Lepisosteus oculatus: one gene and its partner. The protein of the gene in region 1 interacts with the protein of each later gene in a pairwise test. Links are inferred from orthologs where the notes say so. Each region holds a gene or a part of one and is shown on either strand. Other genes may lie near its edges.

The links.
Region 2: the proteins of flt1 (region 1) and shc2 interact in a two-hybrid assay, tested with the Homo sapiens proteins (2 studies listed by BioGRID). The link is inferred for Lepisosteus oculatus from reciprocal best matches to the Homo sapiens genes FLT1 and SHC2.

What each region holds. Positions count from the first base shown.
Region 1 is NC_090700.1:5,799,764-5,807,032, forward strand, and holds the start of flt1 (vascular endothelial growth factor receptor 1), read right to left. Parts: upstream 3,002-7,269; 5' UTR 2,593-3,001; coding exon 2,535-2,592; intron 1-2,534. UniProt on the Homo sapiens protein: Tyrosine-protein kinase that acts as a cell-surface receptor for VEGFA, VEGFB and PGF, and plays an essential role in the development of embryonic vasculature, the regulation of angiogenesis, cell survival, cell migration, macrophage function, chemotaxis, and cancer cell invasion.
Region 2 is NC_090724.1:8,506,432-8,513,340, reverse strand, and holds the start of shc2 (SHC-transforming protein 2), read right to left. Parts: upstream 3,006-6,909; 5' UTR 1,874-3,005; coding exon 1,199-1,873; intron 1-1,198. UniProt on the Homo sapiens protein: Signaling adapter that couples activated growth factor receptors to signaling pathway in neurons. Involved in the signal transduction pathways of neurotrophin-activated Trk receptors in cortical neurons.

The DNA.
Region 1 (7,269 bases):
CGAAAGTACTGTACATTTGGTCCTACGCAGTACGTATTCCTATAAAAATAAAACACCCCCATAAAATTGGAAAAAAAAAATATTTTTCTGATTAACCCAGTCCGCTCGGTGCCGCATCGCTTTGGAGCAGAACGGTCGCCAGTGCCTGATCACTCACGCACAGAAAGCCCTGACCTTCTCGAACCCGCACACCAGGCTGATCAATCACACCGCTGAATACTGCGGGCCGCATAGATTTCAAGCCTCATTAGTCTTCCCTCCCGGCTGTTCGCCATTCTTCTCGAAACCGAACAGGTGGAAAGGCATTTTCACGAATCGCGGTGAGCGGCTTGAATTTTGGGAGGAGAGGGCAAAAGGGTGGGAAGCGGTTTGTTGTTTTTTTTTTATATATTTTTCCCTTCAGTTTAGGTTTATCTGTATTGCGTGGAACTTGGCGTCCTGCTGGCCGAATCCCTGAGGTATAAAGTGATCTTTTGGTCTGGGTTTCGAGCAGTAGGGTTATCACCGTGCCGCAATGTGAAGGGAAAAGACTCACTCCTGTGATGCTAGCCATAGGGCACAGATCCTAAAGAAGACCCAAGACCGCTTGTTGAACGGGAGAGTGGGTCTGTTTTAATTTTATTTATTTTTTCTGCTCTGAACTTTAAGCTGAATATCATTTGAATGACCAACACACTCTTCGGTTGCTCTCGCAATAAATGAAATCACACTTTCAGTGATCTGAAGATCGACAGACAGGGCAAAATGTCTCCACCGGATTGAAAGGCTATGAACGGACGTTGGAGCAACGCATCAGCGATGCTGTACAACCGGCGTACATTTTTACCACATGAATTTACAGTATCTCCGGAATTTACACAGAAAAAGCCAGTTGCTGGTGTTTCTCAGCATCTCCCACGCAGAAGAGGTCCAGCCAACCCTTAAAATCCCACAGAGCACACCCACTGTGAAGTGATAATCACATCAGAACGCGTCAGGAAAAAATACACTTTTTATGTAATTCGTTTACTTAACATCTTCACGACCTTTGAGTTTTGTTTTTCTGCTTCCGATACTTTTCAACCGTTGTGTTGAATGTTCTTCAACTGACGCGTGTTCGTTTTAAGCTCGTTGTTTGTTAACACCCAGCTTGTATCGAAAGCACATATTTGCGTTCATCTAGGTATAAAATACAAGACTTAAAATACTACTTATGGAAAATGTTTTATTGAGAACCTATCGAAAAGATGCGTCGGTGTTCAATTTGAACCCAATAACGGTTTGTGTTAAAATCTGTCAATTTTTCAATGCTTTCTACGTTTTCCTTATCAATAACCACGGAATTAACAAGACTATTTTAATACATTTTTTCCCATTTCATTTTCATTTTTTCCCATCGCTTATTAAGCTTTACAAATAAGCAGCAAGTTAAAATTATGTTTTCGGTCAACCATATAATAGCATTCAGCGGGTGTCAATAATTCATGTAATTTTCTTCGAATCTATTTAAACGAATTCAACGAACAACTTTAAGACGACTTGGCTATATACGCTGTATTTCAACAAGGAGAAGAAGCAGCAGGCAAAATGTTTCTGTTCCCAAACATCATTTGTCGGTAGCAAACAATGTACTGGTGAGTACAGAATCGAAGAACCTGCTCATGAGTCAACCACGTATTTACTAGCAAGTCAACACTGACAAAGACTAACTAACACAGCACGTATCATTCGGTGGTACTCCAGTTCACTCCTGCGTGCCTGTTTTAGTAATATATGTTGATTAGTCCGAGTTCCTGTAAATTGGAAAGTTTCCTTCTAGTGGTCATGACCTTTTGTAATTTGCATTAGCCCTTCCATTCAACTAATTTATCAGGCAAAGGAAACGCCGCCCTTCTCTGATTTAACCAGAGCCGAAAACAAGGATGGTTAAAAATCCCCGTTATTTGAGCTCTTCAACGCGGGGCGGCCGGATTAACTGGGATGGTTGCGCACCTGCAGACGTGATCTGTAAAGTCCGTATATCAGAATTATCTGCCGCACTGAAAAGGCAACTCCAGACCTTGATGTTCACTGGTATATCATTAAAAGAATCGCGGACAGCTTTAATTTTTCACCTTAGTATAATCTTCTTTAAAAAATCGTGAGTTAAATCGTAACTGATGTAATATGTATTATTAGATTCATTTTAGAATTACACTTTGTTAAAATATAACAATTATTATTTTTAAAAAAATCAGTGTAGTTCCTGTAGTATTTGTCTGTGTAGTACCCAGCCCAGGTCGGTGATGATGATGATACACTTCGCTTTCTTGTGTGTTTTAAAGGAAAACAGAAATTAAAAGCCGTTGAAAACGACAACCCAAACTCAATTCAATTTTTCTGCTCAAAACGAAATGTATTTGCTTAATGAAGAGCTGCTTAAAACGATTTTTTTAGTAGGTTGTTCAAACGAACTGAGCGCTGCCTGCATGGATCTTTATTAAACGACGAGAAATTGGTTTCTGTCTAACTTGCACTACTTACACACAGCAAGTTCGTAATAAATCAAAACTCACCCTTTGATAGTGCGCTTCCAGAGAGTCCGCAAAGTACTATCAACACAAGATACATCATCGCGTTTCTTGAATGCCTTTCCTTTCGGCAAAGAAGGTTCGGAGAGCACAATTCCCTTTTTTACAGCTGCCCCAGTGACGGTCCAGAGTTAACAACGCGATGGATTAGCACACTGACATCCCGGCGTTCAGAGAGCAAGAAACGGGAATAACAGCAGGATTCCTACAGTAGCTTGAGTCCTGAGTGTGATGGTGAGCATCCAGTCCGAGCGCGCCTCGCTTAAAGGGGCTTCAGTCATCCCTTTCCCACTCCCCTCGGGGTTGAGATTTATAACTTTTTCTCCGTCCCCACCACTTCACAACCACGCTTCCGTGACGTGAGATGAGCGGCAACACCCACCGGCCCGTTTCCCGCAGTCCCCCCTCTTCCAGGCGACGCGCTGACCTGCGGGTCTCTCTCGCCACGCCGAGGAGGGTGCCACTTCCAGGGCGGCTCCGGGCGCAGAGCGGGCCAGATAACTGGCACGACCCCCCCCCGCTTCTAGTCCCCACTCGCACTCACGCCCACGCACGCGCGAGAGAGCCCCAACGAGTTTAGCTTCTGGGGGCTCGAAAACCTGGACCCTCGTGTGAAGCGCCGCAGCTTGCAGTGTGCGTGTTTCGAGCCGTGCCTCGCCCGGGTGGCCTTGCGCGGGTGGCGATGAAGCCGAGCAGTTCTGGCCTCCAGCTGCGCCCGAAAACCCTGTGTCACCTCTAAACCGCTGCTTTTGCGGTCGTTTCTGTCTTAGACGCCTCTTAAGACAGTCTCTTAAGAGCCGGCTAAAAGAAATTTAGCAGGACCGGAGAAGTCTGCCCTTGTGTGTCTACGGAGTGAGGCGCTGGACGGGACATGAAGGGAGAGGAATTGAATTTCGATACTGCTGCAGCGTTTGGTTTGAGACAGGCATCCACAGAGCAGTCAGGCGGCACACAGGAATGTCCTCTGCCCACAGACCCAAGCACATCCACTGATCCTAATCTGCCACACCAGTGGACACATGTCTGTGGGCTGAAGACCTTGTGCACAGCACTGGTCATCTCTCACCACCAGATCCTCCGAGCCCCTGTGCATCTATTTTAAGAAACTGCATAGCATCAGTTATCGGGAATGTCTCTGTGGGATGCCTATGATTGTCAGTGGGACGTGATTCATTATGGGAACTGCTGTCCAAAATCAAATAAGGAGTGTATTTGTGGTTTACAAGAGTATTTGCATTCATTTACTTCAGGCTGGAGTAATTCCCAGAAAAAAAGTACCGTCATTTCTCTGACATATTTTGTTCTTTTAAAATTTAATATTAAAACAGGTTTATGGCAATTGGTTTCCAGTGTCTATTTTCAGTCATAAATCCCCAGCAAGTTAATGAAGCTTTCAGTTAAAATCAAATCAAATTGCAGGTGAGAAACGTGTCTGAACTCAAGGTGAACAAAGGATGAAGATCATTCTAATTCCATCATTGGATTTTAACATTGAAAAGGACGCTAACTGGAATAACTGCAATAAAGCTCATGGAATATATCTGTTGTATGTAACTTTGCATTGTAAACTGTTCACTCTTTAATTGCTGACTAATTTTGACACATAATATGTTCCTGTCTTGACTTTTCAATCGACCACATCTGTGGAGATAAATGCCAAAGGCACATACATTTTAAAAATGTGTAAATATTTGAAATTATATTAAATAATTTAACATTTGAGCAGAAATTATTACATTTAAAGTACTATTTATATATCTGACACCAACTCGGATTTCTTTGATATCTATCTGCAGTATGTATTGTGACCTACAAAGACAGCAGGAACATACTGTAGACTATACATATCACATGGGTGCTTCTGAGCCACAGGAAGCTATGAATGGGATCTGGGTGTTTATGTAGATTCTTTTATGTCCTCATCAAGACAATGTGGGGAAGCAATAAAATAAGCAAACAAAATGCTTTTGGATTTGTAAACTAGAAGTGTGAATTTATGTTCAAGCTATACAGAACACAAAGAAGGTCTCAGTTGAAACAGTGTGCTTAGTTTAATATCAAATTATATTATAGTCATAGAAACAGTTAAAAGAAGAGGAACAAAAAATATTCCTGGTCACTGGGGACTATCATAAATAGACAGGTTAAAGGAGGTTGTTTTCAGCCTAAACATAATATATTTTAAGAGGAAAATTGACCAACCATATAGAATACCAAAGGGTAAGTCAGGTTCACCCTTGGAGAACATTTCACATTCAGTAGTAGGAAACTAAAAAGGAATTAATTTAGGATGGAGAACATAAACCCCTTTTTTACACAAGAGGTGACTGGAACAGTCTTCTCACACAGGTGTTTGAAGCCCAAACTCTGTGCGCTTATAAAAACTGACTGGACAATTTGAGATTAGCTACTAAACGACTAAATTAGCGAGATCAAAGAGCGTTTGTTACCTTTAATACCCTTTTTATTAACTTGCCAATATGCTGGGAAACTTATTGAACATTCAACAAGACGTCAGGTAAATGGAAAAATGGATCAGAGACAGGTACTGTACACATTGAAAATGCAATACCTGTGCAGTGCAGCGTGTCTGAAATCGACGTATCCCAGTTCCATCTCATTCATCTCATTTTTAAAATGAGATCTGACAGAATGACGGGAGTACTCCAATATTCCTTTTTCAGCACCTATGGTCTTTGCATTTTTACAGCTGCTTATTAAAGACGGGTGGTCTCATTTTGCCTTGATTCAAAAACATTGACAGTTAGCTTGCTGGGTCCTTATTTTTGATGGCTTGAGGTATTTTCAGTTAAGACACAGAACCTTGTGCTGTTGGGATACAGAGAATTTTAAATGATATTAAGTACTGGGAAAGAGAGCAATCTGTGGTCTCAGCTCGTAAACTTGCTTAGGTGATATAGAGAGTGGAGCCGTGGTTTTTGGCTTTTGTTTTGGCCCATAGCCAACAAATGGTGTCATGCGATAGTCCTGTTATCCGCTAAGTCGAATTCTCATGTAGTTGTATCCTACACTTCCTGAGGTTACAGACAAGGTCAAACACCAGGTCCCAGAAGAGCATTCAAAGCAATTTTGGGAATTAAGGTTCTTATGCTATGGACCAACAATTCATGATGTTTTCTCATATTACTTCTTCAATAGATCAATTAAGAAGAAATGTATTATAGTCGATTGATTCACGGATACCTTCATAAATATCACTGCTTTGATCCCAACAATAAAAACTGAGTGATCTCTTAGAATGCCAGTGAAGGATTTCCATAAGCGCGGCTCGTATGTTATTGATTCATATTGGGATAGTGATTTTTTTGAGAAAAAATGAAGCCTGTTAAAAAGATTCAGAGTTTGGAGAGTGGGGGGGGGGTTGTCATTCACCTTCCAGTTTTGAAGGAAGGCAGTTCATTCACACTAAACTTTGTGGCTCCCAACAGGGAAACGCTTCTTCCTGTATTATACACAATTTGATGCCAAGGAGACTAAAGTTGCTCCATTGTGTTTCTAACAATGATATCCTGGGGACAGGTGCCCAAGAGTGCTTTTAATAGCAAGGTGCTGTGATTGGGTAAACAGTCTGTTTTGACTAGCGACACGTACAGCATTAATCCCTGTTTAACACAGCTGGACAGAAATCCGTCTATGGTAATGCAGGTTTTTGTGTACAAACTTAATACAGTAAATCAATTTTATTAAACTGAAGAATACTACAATTGCGTAGCTCAGGGAAGACCCAAACGTTCTGATGGTCTGAGGACCTTCCATGACCAATAAAAACGGAATGCCTGAAGAGCTGTTCCATCCATCTCTGCATTTATGCTTGAGTAATTGAAACGTATGTGCAGCAGGTTACAGGTTAAGACAAAAAGCCATCCAGTCAATGAAGACTGGCTCTTGGTCTAATGAACTCATGTGCTCAAGCATCTTATTTGTACTAAACAAATTAAAACATCCCTTCCTCTGCCCATCAGACTTTATTAAACCAGTACTTGATGGTACAGAAAACTAGGAGTTCTAAATTGGATTGATTATTAAAGCTTAATATTGGCTAATTATCAAAATGTTTTTTTTGTCAAACATGAATCTAGGAACAGTTAAAAATGAGAAGATGTAATCTGGGTAATCCGGTTCATTTTGTTTCTATTAAAAAATCCAAGAATCTCCTCCAGCCTTTTCTTGTAGGAAGCCAGAGTTTCAGCTTCTTCTCTGAACAGGTGAGTTTGTTTCATACTGCCACTGCCCGTTGTGTAAAAAATGCCTCTAGGTCTCAGAAACACACATTCCCTTAGTATCAATTTGTGTTTTCTTTCTGGATTGTGTTTCACTGTTGATTCTGAATAAATCCAGCGGGCTAACTTTCTCAATGTCTTTGAGGGTTTAGAATAATTGAGTTAGGTCCCTCAGGAGTCTTCTCCAGTTCATGACTATATTTAGTTGTTTTAGTCTGTCACTCCAAGACATTCCTTTAAAACCATGGAATGTCTTACTGCTCTTCTCTGGAATGATTCCAGAGCACCAATATCTTCAATCTTTTTTAGTAATGTGATGACTAAATTTGCAAAAATGATATTTTTCACAGACAGCTTCTTTTACAGTGGCTCAGTGTTTACAATATCTATAACCTACTCTATGTTTCTGCTACCTGTAAGCAACACTTTGCATTTGTATACATCTTCCAGGTGTTTACCCAGTATTTAGTTTAAGTATT
Region 2 (6,909 bases), on another chromosome or scaffold:
GTTGTTGACAGGTGGTTTGTATCTAGATGCTGTGATGTGACATGGTGTTTACCTGCCCTTCTAAAAATGTCACTTTATTTATAGTAATTCTGTCTAGCCTTGTGTGAGTTGCTGTCACCACTATAGACCTAAGTAATGCTATGTGCTACAGATTTCTCTAGAGAGCAATATTTATTGTTTCAGAAAGACTCTCCCTCCCTCCCCTCCCCCTTCTACTGATGGGCTCTGCAAATTAAAAAAAAACATTTTGGAAGAAAACGTTTTAGAATTGGGACAGTGATTTTGGAGCATGAGATTGAAAGCAGGAGTGGTCTGTGTATTTCTATAAAGCTAGCAACACCCCCCCACACACACAAAAAAGGAAAAGACACTGTATATACTCCCATCAAGGGTCAGTGGCACACAAACAAGCAGGTCACTGAAACTGAACACAAGTCCACAGTCTGTTCGAATTCTGTGGATGTTCAACTAAAGACTCAGTCGCAGTGTAGGGCTGTCTGACAGGCCAGCTGGGGTGCGTGCTCGCTCACAGCAACAGAAACTACAAGACCAACACATACATCCAGAATCCAGCCCCCCGATACTCACACAAAAGAACGCGCCAGCTGGTGCCCACACTGTCACACCAGCACAAATAAGGATGCTGACGCAGACACACAAACAAAGCACGCATTCACCGTGACACGGTCAGCTACAAGCCACAGGAAGATCACAGGTACACACGGCCTAGGAACACGGTACTGCGAAGCACTGTCCAGACAACAAGGGCTGCAGTGTAGAAACAGCCTGCAAGACTCAAAAAAGAGAATTCAACCAGCAAAGGGGTCACAACAGAACCCATCTGGAGATCTACCAAAACCAGAAAAACAAACCTCGTCCGGAACAAACACGCAGTCGCAGCCACACAGCCCCGGGCACACACTTAATCCCTCCGTTCCCTCTCCCAGGCACGCACCTCGAAGCACGGGAGCTAGGCCTGGCATGCACTGCTGTTGCACAGCGTGTGAGGTGAAAAGAAAAGAGCTTAGGAGACCCCAAGCAGGTTAAGAAACACTGCAGCCCAGGAGAGTGAATGACCCTGCAAAACACAGGCAGCTCATCTCCCTGTGAGCACAGCTTCAGGGCTCCTGCTGGGGCCCACAGCGAAGCCGCCGCAGGGGCGCGGGAGGAGGGCTACGCGCGTGCGACGCACACTTACCCTGACTATGTAGGACACCCCCGGCCCTGCGATCTTCTTGTCGGGGTGCAGCCAGCCCTGCGAGGGCTTGTGGATGAAGCTGCCCTTGTGGGTGAAGTCCTCCCCGCCCAGCCTCACGCCGTCCACGCGGGGCCTCCGGCTCATGCCCGCGGCGGGCACCCCGGGGCCGCTGCCCGCCGCGCCGCGCAGCCTGCTCACGGCCTGCAGGGAACAAGGGGTGACGCACACCGGGTCACAGGAGTTCAGAACGGCTGCCAGGCTGGCCACGGGGCCGCTGGACGGGGCCGCGGGCCCGGCTGTCCCCTGGGGGGCGCTCTTGGCCCCGGCGTCCTTCCCGCCGCTGCCGCTGGAGCTGGAGCTGGAGCTGGATGGGCTCCTGCTGAGGAAGGCCGACGCGTTGGAGAACTTCCACTGCGGCATCCTGGGGATGAGCATGCAGAAGGTGGTGGTCCCATCCTGGTCCGCCTCTGGGCAGGGGGACTCCGCCAGGGCAGGTGGGGGGTAGGGGTGGCGGCCCAGGGGTCCGAGGGTGGGCGGCGGCGGCGGGGGCGCGGGGGAGGCGGAGCTGGCCGGCGTGCTGGCCACTTTGCCGCTCATGGCTAAGTTCTGCATCAGGTCATCGGAGGAGGTCACGGAGTCGTTGCGAAAGCGGTCATACTTGGGCTTAAGGAGCATGCCCGGGGGGGTCGGCCCGACGAAGGGAGCAGGGTTTGGAGGATGAGGGGAGAGGAGAGGAGAGGAGAGGACAGGGGGGAGGGGGGGAGAGGAAGACAGAACCCCCTCCCAAAAAAGCCGACGACAAAAATCTCTTTCTTCCCACTGATGCGCGCCGGCTCCTGGAGAGAGAGCTCTCCCTGACTGTGATGCCGACGGTGTCCCGTTCCCTCTCTCGGTGCCTCTCCCTCGCTCTCTCCCTCACGCTCACTCTGCTCCTGTCTCTGAGCTCTTCTGCTCTTAGCTGGGCTCCCTCCCTCCCTCCCTGTCTGTAGCCCCCCCCCGTGCAGCACAGCCAGTGATGTCATCGTGTGAGTGCGATTGCACATCTATTAGCCAGCAGTCCAGCCCAGCCCAGCTGCTCCCAGGCAGCATTAGTTTCCCAACATCTGGCCCTGCCTCCCTCCCAGCCAGGACCCCCCCCCTCCTGCGGCCGCAGGCTCCATCCCCGCTATTGTGTTCGTCAAGCAGGGGGCGGGGCGCCACACCGTGGGGGATCACGTTTCATTTTAATGTTTAACGCTGCCTCAAGCACGTTTAGCTTTCCGAAGACATCGCCGGCGGATTCGCTGCGCGGCAGGGGAGGGCTGGGACAGCAGGCTGTGGAGCGAGTCAGTCCCCTCAGGAGCCCATTCGGAGGCAGGGGAGGGCTGGGACAGCAGGCTGTGGAGCGAGTCAGTCCCCTCAGGAGCCCATTCGGAGGCAGGGGAGGGCTGGGACAGCAGGCTGTGGAGCGAGTCAGTCCCCTCAGGAGCCCATTCGGAGGCAGGGGAGGGCTGGCGACAGGGCACAGGGCACCATGGGAGGGTGAAACTACACTGCACGTGATTTGGAAAGGGGCAAAAATGTCTTGATGAAAGCAGGTGAGACTACACTGTCCACCCAAGGGTGTGTATAGATGTGTTGGATGAAACTCCCAGTCCCCCTCCCTGCAGCCAAACTGAGATTCTTTCAGAAGTCGGAGCATTTTTGCCCTTACAGGAGCTTTGCAATACGGATGGTAATGTTACACAGTTTCAGGGACCCACTCCCGGTTGTTTTTGATGGTTCAGGGGTGGGTCTCAGAAACATGTGCCCTTGAGTTTTTAAAAACATTTTAAAAAATTTTAAAAGGACACAAACTGCCTTGGTTTCATAACACAGTGAAACATGGATGAATATATAATATTTCATATATCATATATCATATATCATATATCATATATCATATATCATATATCATATATCATATATCATAGGTAGCTTGCTTTCCTGCGAGTGTTCCCAAACTCTCACCCCCTCAATGCCTGCTCGGGTCAGGGGCACCCCCTGTCTGCGCCCCCAGCAGGAAGGTCACACTGTCACTGCAAACAAAACTTGGACGTTAAGATTAATTTATTGACTTAAGAACAGGTCACATGTTAAATTCACATGGTTAAATTCAAGGTTGGGAAGAAACTCCCAGATGTTTTTTGGGGGTAAAATGTCTAAAAAAAAAAAACTACTATTAACTGACTGTACTCCCATCAAGTCCATGTAGAAAACTGGGCACCACTGACCAATGAAATCGGACACACCTTCTGATGGGGCTTGGGTGAATGCCTCCTCCTGTAAGTAAGTACACTAGACACCAGAGGGCGCTATATCAGCCCTATCCCCCCCAGATGATGATGAATTTCATCTGTGTTTAAATGAACCATTTTAACAACCCATGTATTATCATCTCTATTCCATATACTGCCTTTCAGAATCAATTCTCTCATGGCAACACTGAAACAGAGACGGGTACACAGACATGAACACAGTAAAGGTGTTAGTTTCAAGCCAGTTGTACGTGAGAGATTGAACTGGCTGATCCGCACGTTATCTTTAACAAACTAACAACCGTCAGCAAAGATCAAACCCAGGATTGTCAGAGCGCTGCTGCTGGACTGTGTTTTTCCTGAGACGTCATTGAGCAGCAAAGTGACAAGATCAGAACAACAACAACTTGTGCCTTCGATTTGAACCCAAAACCACGACACAGAGATGCAGCAGGCCACACCACCCATGCATGCATTTTTTCAAAGCGCACAACTTAAAACCCAAGGAATAAAAAAGCCAGGCTACCTGTTGAGAGCTCTTCTCTTCAGCTCTTCACCCAGACTGTCCCCAGAGCCACCATCACTCAAGCTGCAGACAGCACAGGACAAAATAAGACAAAACGACACACAGCAGATGTGCACATCGACATATACTGTATGCACAGAGCATATAGCACCGGAGACATCTGCCCTCCAGAGTGCTCCAGGCTGTTATCCCCTCCTCTGACAGATGGAGGCGCTATGGCCCTAACAGGAGATGATATAAAGGAGGTACTCTAGCCAGATCTCTGAGAGGGAGGGGCAGCTCAGGATCAGCTTGGGACCGGAAAATGAGAAAATGAAAAAATGCTCTTTTTTTTTCAGATAAGCGACAGTATCGATTGATAAAATGATGAATCGGTAGATTGGAGTTGAAAATAAGCAAACCTTATTTTCAATAATTTCAGGTCTAGAGCGAATGGCATTAACAGATAAGTCCAAGGAACTGGATCTTTTTAGTCTGGAACAGGGGGTATAAAATTACAACAGAGTGTGATATGGGTATTCAACATCCTGAAAGGAATTGATATAGTCAGCCCAAGGGACTGCTTCACACTCAGAAACACTGGAATGATCATTGAAGTGTATTTGGGACTGACAACAAGTGGCATGTTTTTACACAGAGGGTGGTAGGTGTATGGAACAATCTGTCCAGCCACATTGTTGAAGACAGTACCCTGGGAACCTTGAAGAAACAGCTCAATGAGATCAACTACCAGATGAGCACAAGGGGTGAAAGGGCCTAGCCTTGTTCATAACTTTCTTGAAAGAACATAAATTTGGCCATTTGGATTCTCAAGTCTGTTGCTGCTAGGAAATGATGCACCTAAAATGAGGAGGACAGGGCTCTCCGCATCTTTCCTTCTGCCCTGTCTTACCAGATTCTAACAATATTATACTGGAAGACAGGGAAACTTAGCCAACAAGAGCATAAAGAATTCAGGATTCTTGCTCTTCCTTCTCAGTTTCTCCAGTTCCCAGGAGACACATTAAATGCAATCACAGCGAGCAGGCTCAAGCCCTCTCCTCCCCCCTCCTCTCCTCTCCTCTCCTCCCTGCCATTATTTGAGAGGCAGAAGAATGACGAAATTAAGCATCACAGAGCCACCCAAACTAGGTTAAGCGGGGATTTGTAATGCACACCTTTCTCATTAAAACCAAAATAGAATTAATAAAAGACAGCGCTGTGCAGATGTGGCAGCAGCACGGTGTCGCAGAGCTGCAATTGCGTGTTTTGAAAAATGGATCTGAACCTCAAAAGAAAAGCTGTACTCCTAATATTGAACAACACTGTCAGAAACAGACATCTTTTTTAATATAGACTGTTACATCGGTTGATCTAACAGTGATGTATTGATTTCTGGAAAATGTAAGGGCTGCGGTGAACTGGAAACTTAAAAGTGCTTTTAGAGAGCAGCTCTGAAAGACAAGCAGAACACACAATGGGTGTTTGAAGATCAGTGCATGTTTGACTTGGTGACAAGGAACGCTAGTGTACACACACAACAACTCCTTTCACACTCTCACAGACTGTACACATAAACACCCCCCACTGACACACACACACACACACACACACACACACACACACACACGGACAGACACCCCCCACTGACACAGACACCCTACACTCACAAACACACACAGACACACACCCCACACCGACACACACAAACAGACACCCCCCACTGACACATACACACACAGACACCCCACACTCGCATACACACAGAAACAGACACCCCACACCCACATATACACACAGACACCACACAGTGGCACACAGACACCCCACACTGACACACACACAGAAACAGATACCCCACACTCACATACACACACAGACACCACACAGTGGCACACAGACACCCCACACTGACACACACACAGAAACCCCACACTCACATACACACACAGACACCACACAGTGGCACACAGACACCCCACACTGACACACACACAGACACCACACAGTGGCACACAGACACCCCACACTGACACACACACAGAAACAGATACCCCACACTCACATACACACACAGACACCACACAGTGGCACACAGACACCCCACACTGACACACACACAGAAACAGATACCCCACACTCACATACACACACAGACACCACACAGTGGCACACAGACACCCCACACTGACACACACACAGAAACAGATACCCCACACTCACATACACACACAGACACCACACAGTGGCACACAGACACCCCACACTGACACACACACAGAAACAGATACCCCACACCCACATACACACACAGACACCACACAGTGGCACACAGACACCCCACACTGACACACACACAGAAACAGATACCCCACACCCACATACACACACAGACACCACACAGTGGCACACAGACACCACACAGTGGCACACAGACACCCCACACTGACACACACACAGAAACAGATACCCCACACCCACATACACACACAGACACCACACAGTGGCACACAGACGCACACAAATCTAGGTCATCGCTCCAGTTATTTCAGCCCTCAGCAATGCCACCAGGCTGGTCTGTGAATTTCTTCAGCGCAGTAATGTGACGGACAGATGCCCAGGCACACTCCGCGCTTCACATCAAGAGAAAAGGCCGAGAGGTTTGCCAGATTTTTCAGCATCTGAAAGATCAGCTCAGAGGCCTGACCTGCTGTTTGCCTTGGTGACAGACAGGCTTCAAAATCTTAAAACAGCAGAAACGCTCGTCTTGCCTGAAGGTCTGGAACATTTACTGCCACCTCCTGAATGGAGTGGTGCCAGTCCCACAACAAAAAGAGGCAGCACAACCAACACAAACCGTTTCCATCGCTCATCTAACGATTGAAGCGCCAGTCTTTCACTTCTGCTTTTTTTCGCTTTCTATTTTTTTG